Linked DNA regions of Schizosaccharomyces pombe. Changing the gene in region 2 together with the main gene of any one other region gives a genetic interaction. Each region holds a gene or a part of one and is shown on either strand. Other genes may lie near its edges.

Region 1 (6,051 bases), 1.6 Mb from region 2:
AATCCAAACTATGTTATACATTATATACAACATTTGTTCCGATGAAAATGAAGTCATGGGTTTTTGATCAGGCGAAGGGAGTTGAAGCGGGCATGGTAAGGGAATACTGGTATACTGAGCTAAAAATATACAAATAAAGGATAAAGTTAAAGCACAATCAGGATTTAAAAACATTTTCTCTTTACTTCTGATACATACAGGAATGCCAGAAATAGTCACAGAGGCATTTAACTCCATCACCTGAGAAAAAAAGTTGCTATAAAAATGTCCTGTTTCATTGTCACTATGAGATAAGTCGGATTTCGAATTGCCCATTGATAATTTTGAAAGTCTATACGCAAGAGATGAATCTATGGAGTCAGGGTTAAACTCTGATCCCATTTGAGCAGATTTTTGAGTGCAACCCTGAGTGTTAAGCACTAAATCCCTTTGCCAGTGAAGTTGATACATATCCAAAACCCTTGTTATCAGCTTCTTTTGATACTCATGCAATTTATTTTGAAGTAGCTCAGAACGGCGATAAGCTGTAAGGTATTCCTTAGAGAAATAGTCACTCGTTGAATGTGATAAGCCAGCTAACTTTTGACTCGCGATATTAATTGATTTTTTGCGATTAGACAAGTCATCTTCTATAAGCTGTTTGCGGGAATGCAAGTCACACGATAACGATTTCTTTTCGTTTAGAGAGGCAGCAAGGTTCTGTAGTCGATAAGTTAATTCCTCTTTTTGGGTAATCTTTCCTTTTAGAGAGAAACTTTCTGATTTCAATTTAGCAACCTTTTCAAGCTCTGACTCAATATCTCGAGAGAATTCATCACGTTTATGATAAAAATCATAAAGCTGCTTTTTTAAACAGCTTTCGCAAATAGAAGGACGTCTTGTTTCGCATAATTGGCATTTATTGACATGCAGCATACAAACACACCTTCAGTTTAGATCCAACAATGCCTTCAAGTGGTACGCAAATTTCAATTATAGCACAGCAATAAGAAAACTTAAAAACCCAGCAGGATATTAATTTCCTACTACGTTAACTGTCAACTTGTATACAATATAGGTGTTGTTAAAATAATGAAGCAAAAACAAAGAAGAAAAAGGGAAAAAAAATAAACAGCGCAGGTTTTTAAACAATTATTCTTAGAAACGAAGGGCCTCCTAACGGACAAATTCAAAAATATTAATTTAAAAGTGAAACTGCATTCCTGGCTGTTCTTGCAGAATTGAACAACCAATGCGATATTTTTGACAGAAAAAACGACAAATATTAAGAAAAAATTATATTATACGAATTCAATGCAATGAGTAGATGGACTTCTATTTCTTCAAATCCCCGAAGTAGCTACTTAGCAGTTGATGTTCGTATTGATTACTACAATCGTATGCAAATAGTTACTTTATAAAGCGTTTAAAAATATTTCCTTAAAGTAGCCTGTTACTCGACACTCAAATTTTTGCTAAATAACTTTGAGTGATGAGCAAGGTGTTTTACAAAACTATTTTATCTAAATAAATAGGTTAATAAAATATTAACTAAATAATATAATCCTAGAACCCAAACCATCCTCTTTTAACATTAGCTTTTGCAGTATCACCTAGAAAACATAACGTGGTACGCTGCCATAATATAACGAAACACTATTTGTTGTCATATTTCTTAAGGTTCAGTGACAAAAGATCTCTAGTATCTGCAGTTATGTTTAATGATTTTATTAAAACTATAAAAGAATAAAGACAATTTCGCCACGGTATCTTTTGCTAAATGTTTAGTAATATAAAGAGCAAGTTGCCATCATGATATAGCTTTACCATAAACTACGTTACAACGTTTAAGGCATTATTTAGCATCAGTATTTGGGACCACTACCACCATATCACGCCCCCGTGCCACATCAAGAACAAACTACCAGCATAGTGTGCTCTTGAATTATACCGAATAATTCCATAATACAAAAGAAGGTATTGGGTGACTGGAGTCTTTTTCTTTAACAATCCGATTCATTGAGTGTTATTATTTTAATTTTGGTAATTTTCTTTTTCTTTTTTTAAACAAAGATTGTTTTTGGATAGCCAAAGTATAAGTCGTTTTTGGTGATCTTTAATTGCGAGTATTTGTTTATTGCTAGAGCTTACCAAGTTTGCTTCATCTTAAACATCAGGAAAATTTTAAATTTATATTTTAAAATTTTTTTGTCTACTTTTCATTTACATTTTATTTTTCTTCATTAAATTCTGCATATCATCTCGAAACAACGCTTATGTATTAGAAGAAGGTGGTCTATCCTAATTAACTCATACACATCTCGTAACTAAAGGAATTGTTTCTTGTTTTAGAAATTGCAATAAGTTTTGGCCCTCAAAATTTTTTGTAATCTGCTGTTCCCATATTAAGTTTTCAACTATTTGAGTTACCAAGAAACGCGTGAAACAAGAAATCTGTATTGTTTTGTCGTTATTTCTTCCATTTTAATTAATCTTAGGAGAATTTAAAAAGTTTCAATCTTTTTGCATCTATTCTCGGCGCTCTTAATTCGTGTGATAAAATTATTCATAATATACACGTGACCTTACATATTTTTTCTCCAAATCCTATATTTTAGATTCAATTTTCTTTTGCCATTTGCTTGGATACATTGATTGTTACTTAATTATGGATGGAAAAAGAAAAATAGAGCATACCGCTGATGGCACGCATTACGACGCGACTTCCAACGTGAAGCGCAAGCCAATTTTCCCCCCTTTCATTGCTGATTCGCTTTCAGAAGCTACCGAAAAAGCTAATGTTATGGGGGGTGGTATGAATTCGCGACTTCAGATTCTTTCAGAGATGTCTAAACGAGTTCAGGCTACTGCACCCATTTCAAGTTTAGAACATTTCAAGCAGTTGAGTGATATTTCTCCCTCATTTACTTCCTCTGCTAACTCCATAAATCAACCATATAATTATTCCGGTTCGTTAGAAAATCTTGTTCCTACACCTTCTGCTGGCACTCCTTCGCAATTTATGGATGCCCAAAATCCATACGGCGCTGTTTACAATGCTTTATCTCAATTCTCTGAGACAGAGCCCAAAATGCCCTCTTACATGGATGACGAAGAAGCAAGCGATTCTTTACCTCTTTCATTATCGTCTCAATCACTGAGTTCACAGGTTACAAATCAAAAGCCAGCCCCACATCGTCTTACAATGAGAGAACGATATGCTGCTAATAATCTTACTAACGGACTTCAATTTACCTTGCCATTGTCATCTCGAAAGACTTATGAGCCTGAAGCTGACGATGACAGCAATGATGATATGTACTCTGATGATGATTCAAATGCAGATCGCTGGGCATCTCGTATAGATACTGCTGCTCTAAAGGAGGAAGTTCTTAAATATATGAATCGTTGTTCAACACAGGATTTGGCTGACATGACAGGTTGTACGCTTGCTGAAGCTGAATTTATGGTTGCCAAAAGACCTTTTCCAGATCTTGAATCTGCTTTGGTCGTTAAGCAACCTCGTCCGGTGATTCCCAAAGGTAGACGAGGTAGACGTGAAAAAACTCCTCTTGGACCACGTTTAGTTGGTATATGTATGGAAATTATGCGTGGTTATTTCGTAGTGGATGCGCTTATTCGTCAGTGTGAGCAGCTAGGTGGTAAAATTCAGCGCGGCATTGAAGCGTGGGGCTTGTCAAACACTGCTACATCTGATGAAGGTGAAACTTCTCTTGTCAACTTTGATCAAATGAAAAGTTTCGGTACGCCTGCAAATTCCTCGTTTATCACTACACCTCCTGCATCTTTTTCGCCCGATATCAAACTACAGGATTATCAGATCATTGGGATTAATTGGCTTTACCTTTTGTACGAGCTCAAACTGGCTGGTATCCTGGCTGATGAAATGGGGCTCGGTAAAACTTGTCAAACCATCGCTTTTTTCTCATTACTCATGGATAAAAATATTAACGGGCCACATTTGGTAATTGCACCTGCTTCAACGATGGAGAATTGGTTACGTGAATTTGCCAAGTTCTGTCCCAAGCTAAAAATTGAACTTTATTATGGATCGCAAGTCGAACGTGAAGAAATTCGTGAACGTATCAACTCTAATAAAGATTCTTATAACGTTATGTTAACCACCTACCGTTTAGCCGCTACTAGTAAGGCTGATCGTTTGTTTTTGCGCAACCAAAAGTTCAATGTTTGTGTATATGACGAAGGTCATTACTTGAAAAACCGTGCGTCTGAGAGATATCGTCATTTGATGAGTATTCCTGCCGACTTTCGAGTTTTGCTAACTGGTACACCGCTACAGAATAATCTTAAAGAATTAATTTCGCTTTTAGCGTTCATTCTTCCTCATGTATTTGATTATGGTTTGAAAAGTTTAGATGTCATTTTTACTATGAAAAAATCCCCAGAAAGCGACTTTGAACGAGCATTGCTTTCAGAACAGCGAGTATCGAGAGCCAAAATGATGATGGCCCCATTTGTCCTTCGCCGTAAAAAGAGCCAGGTGTTAGATGCTTTGCCGAAGAAAACGCGTATTATAGAATTTTGCGAATTTTCCGAAGAGGAACGTCGCCGTTATGATGACTTCGCTAGCAAACAAAGTGTAAATTCTTTATTGGATGAAAATGTCATGAAAACTAATTTAGATACGAATGCAAATCTTGCAAAGAAGAAAAGCACAGCTGGTTTTGTGCTTGTACAGCTTCGTAAGCTTGCGGATCACCCTATGTTGTTTCGAATTCATTATAAAGATGATATCCTTCGACAAATGGCGAAAGCTATTATGAATGAACCCCAATACAAAAAGGCAAACGAACTTTATATATTTGAAGACATGCAGTACATGTCAGATATTGAGCTACATAATTTGTGTTGCAAATTTCCGTCTATCAATTCATTCCAACTTAAAGATGAACCTTGGATGGACGCCACAAAGGTCAGAAAACTTAAAAAACTGCTCACTAATGCTGTTGAAAATGGCGACAGAGTTGTATTATTTAGTCAGTTTACACAGGTTTTGGACATTCTTCAACTTGTCATGAAATCATTAAATCTAAAGTTTTTAAGATTTGATGGTTCTACACAAGTCGATTTCCGCCAGGATCTCATCGATCAATTTTATGCTGATGAAAGCATTAATGTATTTCTTCTTTCTACCAAAGCCGGCGGTTTTGGTATCAATCTTGCGTGTGCTAATATGGTTATTCTTTATGATGTCTCTTTCAATCCATTCGATGACCTTCAGGCGGAAGATAGAGCACATAGAGTTGGCCAAAAGAAAGAAGTTACAGTTTATAAATTTGTTGTCAAGGATACCATCGAAGAGCACATTCAACGTTTAGCCAACGCTAAAATTGCTTTGGATGCGACTCTTTCCGGCAATGCCGAAACTGTGGAGGCTGAAGATGACGATGATTAGTTTATACAGGGTTTTTTATGCATTAGTTTTAAAATAGTCAAATTGATTAGGTTTCTACTTTATTCGAGTAAACCTTTCTCTTTATTTTCAATTGTATTATCTGTATTTGTGTTTTGCACGTTATAAGTCGATCCCGTTTCACTAAATCAGATTAAAAGATTTGATTTGTAAAAGTAAATTCTATTTATTGAATGATACAAATTCAGTACTTCTTCAACCTAATATGAAAGCTTTTAGCTTCTTGACACCATTTATATACCACGCCAAAAACGCGTCGTGAAAATGGTCAGTCTTTTTTGAAGATAATACAGCAAATAAGCGATTCTTATTATCCAAAGTCGTTCTAAAACTTGCAAAACAAAAGTTGACAGAGGAAAGCACTTCACCTAGTAAGTTTATGAAATCATATTATTACATTTTATTTCTCAACTTCGAATAATAGTAATCGAATAAATAATGAATTTTGTTCAATTTTAATACTACAAAGAGTGTTAAATGCTGAATCTTTATATGTGGAAGCTAAGTCGCTCTCAAGTTTATCAAGCTTCATTATTATTTGGAAGCAGAGTAATTAGTGCTCTTGCATTTACAAATACCGGTCTAGTTTTGCATGGCCCAAGAAGATGGTATACTAC
Region 2 (3,496 bases):
ACAAGTCCTCATTTCTTAGAGCCAAGAGATACCATAAGCATAAATGGTCAGATTGCTAGTGAAGAGATATTTAATACTTGTTGGAAGCAGGTGATTGAAGTGGATAGAAGATTTCGTACAAAAGCGACGGAATTTGAATTGTTAACTGCTACTGCGTTCCAATGTTTTCATCATTCAGGTGTTCGTGTGGCTGTAATTGAAACAGGAATGGGTGGTCGTTTGGATGCTACTAATGTATTTGAAGAACCAGTTCTTTCAATAATTTCACGTATTTGCTTGGACCATCAAGCATTTTTAGGAAATACCTTAGAGGCTATTGCTAAAGAAAAGGCTGGGATCTTTAAAAAGAATGTTCCGTGCGTGGTTGATGGGTTAAATGAAGTTAACGTCCTAAATCAATTAAAATTAAGTGCAGAGGAAACGAGGGCACATCCGTTTTATTTGGCAAAAGGAAAATCAGGTGAAAACAAAAATGAGTGGATCATCAATACTCCAAATTGGGGAACCAATACTTTTAGTACTCCATTGAAGGGGGATTATCAAGGACAAAATTTGGCTTGTGCAGTAACTGCTCTCGATATCCTTTCTTCGTCATTTTCAATTATGCTTCCCCATGTACAAAATGGTGTAAAAAATACATCTTGGCCTGGAAGGCTTGACATTCGTTCGGTTCCTTCTTTGGGTGATATTTTATTTGACGGAGCACACAATAAAGAAGCTGCGATTGAGCTTGCGAAATTTGTAAATTCGCAAAGACGTGAGCACAATAAATCAGTATCATGGGTAGTAGCTTTCACTAACACAAAAGACGTTACTGGGATTATGAAAATCCTTCTTCGTAAAGGAGATACCGTTATAGCGACAAATTTTTCTTCAGTAAGTGGGATGCCCTGGATTAAATCAATGGAACCTGAAGTTATAAAAAACAGTATATCTTCGGAATCTTCTGTGGAATGCTATACTGCAGATAATCTAACAATAAGCGAAATTTTAAGACTGGCAAAAGAGAAGAATTCCAGCGTAATTGTATGCGGTAGTCTTTATCTTCTAGGAGACATGTATCGTTATTTAAAACTGGACGTATAGCCTCTAAATCGTGCTGTTTACTTTCATACGTTTTTCCTTGTTTGACAAATTTATCATATGAATTGTCACAGAGTGATGAATTGTGCTCTAGAGAATTTTGTTCCATGACTTAAAAACTAAAATTTACTTTCAAAGAAGCTTGAATGATGCTATCAGGTTAATAGAAAAAAGATAAAAGATTTATATTAAGCTTTGATGGGTTTTTGGTGTGAGTTAAGATATTGAGTTAGAAATTGACTTATAGATTACGAATACATTAGTTTAAATACTTGGTGCGCTCTGCCTGCAGCCTTAATAAAACAGATATTATTTTCATTATGTGACTAGATCTTGATTTACAATTCTTACAAGATAAGGTGGGATAACTGAAGCATATTTAGCACATTGAAAGATTCCGCCTTTCTTTTAATTATTATTAAATACTGTCGTAACTGCAATAAAATAAGTAAAACGCTGAAATCGTTAAAAAAATATACCCTTCTATCTCACAGGTTGAGCTAATCAAGTTGATATACGTATAGTGCAAATGATAGGCATTTAAAAATTAGACTAATATAGTTTAACTATTACATTAATTTTAAAATACACAAACATTTAATTACTGTTTTAAAATTATACTCAGAGTCTAATTAATTACAGATTTACCGTAATCCATAGCGCTTGTTATCTATCATTACAGCAACAATGATTGCTACGCACTAAAATTCGTATACGTTTTAGATATAACATGTATAATCCACCAACATTTTTTGAGTATACAAAAAAGCAGAATGGCTGAACAACCTTCTCGGCAGCAGAGTATGTACTGTGGATGAGTTTAAAATACAAAATAGTTGACCAGTTCCAGTTCTACAGACGCAGTACAATTCATATAAGTCTCGGTTACAACAAATTGCGCAGAAGATTGTCGATTTGGAAACCGATGCTGACGAACATAAGTATGTGATACATAAAAAATTTTTAAATTAAATACCTAACTAAAAAGACTTGTTATGGACACATTAAACTCCATGGATAATAATCGACGTTGTTTTCGAATGATCCATGGAGTGCTAGTGGAGAGAACGGTGGGAACTGTTGTGCCTATCCTTAAAACTACTCAAGAAGGGGTAAGGAATTTTTTTATTTTGACCCTTTATTGTCAGATGAATTTTTGGTCTTGATGTACTAATCAAAATATTAGATTCAAACAGCCATGAATGGTTTGCTCGACCAGTATAAGCAGCTCGAAGCAGAATTCCAAAAGTTTCAAAAAGACAATAAAATTCAAGTCGTTAGACAATAATACAGATGACTCCATTAATTGCGCAGTTGCGTTCATTGACACGCCGACTGTTTTTCAAGTGCTTTATCTTCGGTTTAACATTTTTTTCCTAAACAGAGGAACAGGGATAGAATCCAAGAGTATTTGTGTCATCAAATATCATCACTTTATGTTATTAGAGTTTCACTTAAACCGTAGACTTAATACATGTAGTAAGTTAGGTAGAACTAACTTGATTGCGTCTCTACCTCCTTCACCTCAGGCGGAGATGTTTGAGCAACTTCATCAACAACGTGCTGGGAATCCTTATGGTCGACTTCGTTTGATTTTTCTTTAATTACATTATAGCACACAATTTTTTCAGAGGGTATGTCCTCTTGAATTTTGAAAGCAGGTAATGAGCATAAACCGGGAACGTGAATAGTCATTGAATATGCACAGCTTGAAACTTCTTGATATTGAGTAATTTCAGGAGTATCCGAATTTGTACTGCATTCATAACTTAGAATTACGTGTCTTGGTCTCTTAGTAATGTCGCACATAGTCCCATTTCGGAAAGTTGTTTGCAAATATGCTTTACCTTCAACAAATCCAATAGCCCAATTTTCTTCCAAATTCTTTTTAGTTTGAGTGTTAGGTGCCGTACCAAGTATATACATAGGGTTAGCAAGGACTTTGTCAGAACCTTGCTGCGGCTCCAAATGATATTGACGCACGTGTTGACCGTAGACATAGTCATAAGTCCAATAACCACGATTCTAATACAATGATTAGCTTGAAAAACACTACATGTACTAAAAGTAGTCATTAATTCTAAAATTTTTATGGACATGTCAAATAATGACCTTTTAGTAAAGTTGGTTTGTTTAAGACAAATAAAACAATTAGAACTCGTACCTCGATTAAAAATACATTAGCAAGCTCATTGATTTTTTCAGTCCCTTGTATCCGCAATTCTTGTAAATCATAGCTTGGTTCGGTTGTGCTATTTTGTTTTATAAGAGACGCATTGGGATATACACAAAAATATTCATGCTTTCCAGCATAGAATAATGACGATAATTTAGTTTTTTCAGTTTTTTCTTTAATTGAGTCAATGTCGCCCTCTAATATTGACACATTACTCCATTCAAACGAATATTTAGG

What was found. A genetic interaction does not mean that the proteins touch.
Region 1: mutations in pfd2 (region 2) and fft3 together harm fitness more than expected from each alone (negative genetic interaction), as found in Schizosaccharomyces pombe (2 studies listed by BioGRID).

What each region holds. Positions count from the first base shown.
Region 1 is NC_003424.3:2,097,646-2,103,696, reverse strand, and holds fft3 (protein Fft3), read left to right. Parts: upstream 1-1,891; 5' UTR 1,892-2,647; coding exon 2,648-5,416; 3' UTR 5,417-5,502; downstream 5,503-6,051. Other genes in the region: protein Atg14, read right to left, coding at 1-915; SPOM_SPAC25A8.03C (uncharacterized protein), read left to right, coding at 5,912-6,051. UniProt on the Schizosaccharomyces pombe protein: DNA helicase that possesses intrinsic ATP-dependent nucleosome-remodeling activity and is required for heterochromatin organization.
Region 2 is NC_003424.3:511,975-515,470, forward strand, and holds pfd2 (prefoldin subunit 2), read left to right. Parts: upstream 1-1,827; 5' UTR 1,828-1,856; coding exon 1,857-1,884; intron 1,885-1,933; coding exon 1,934-2,024; exon of another isoform or gene 2,025-2,071; coding exon 2,072-2,195; exon of another isoform or gene 2,196-2,269; coding exon 2,270-2,371; 3' UTR 2,372-2,577; downstream 2,578-3,496. Other genes in the region: fol3 (folylpolyglutamate synthase), read left to right, coding at 1-1,086; putative misfolded glycoprotein sensor Yos9, read right to left, coding at 2,578-3,108, 3,248-3,496.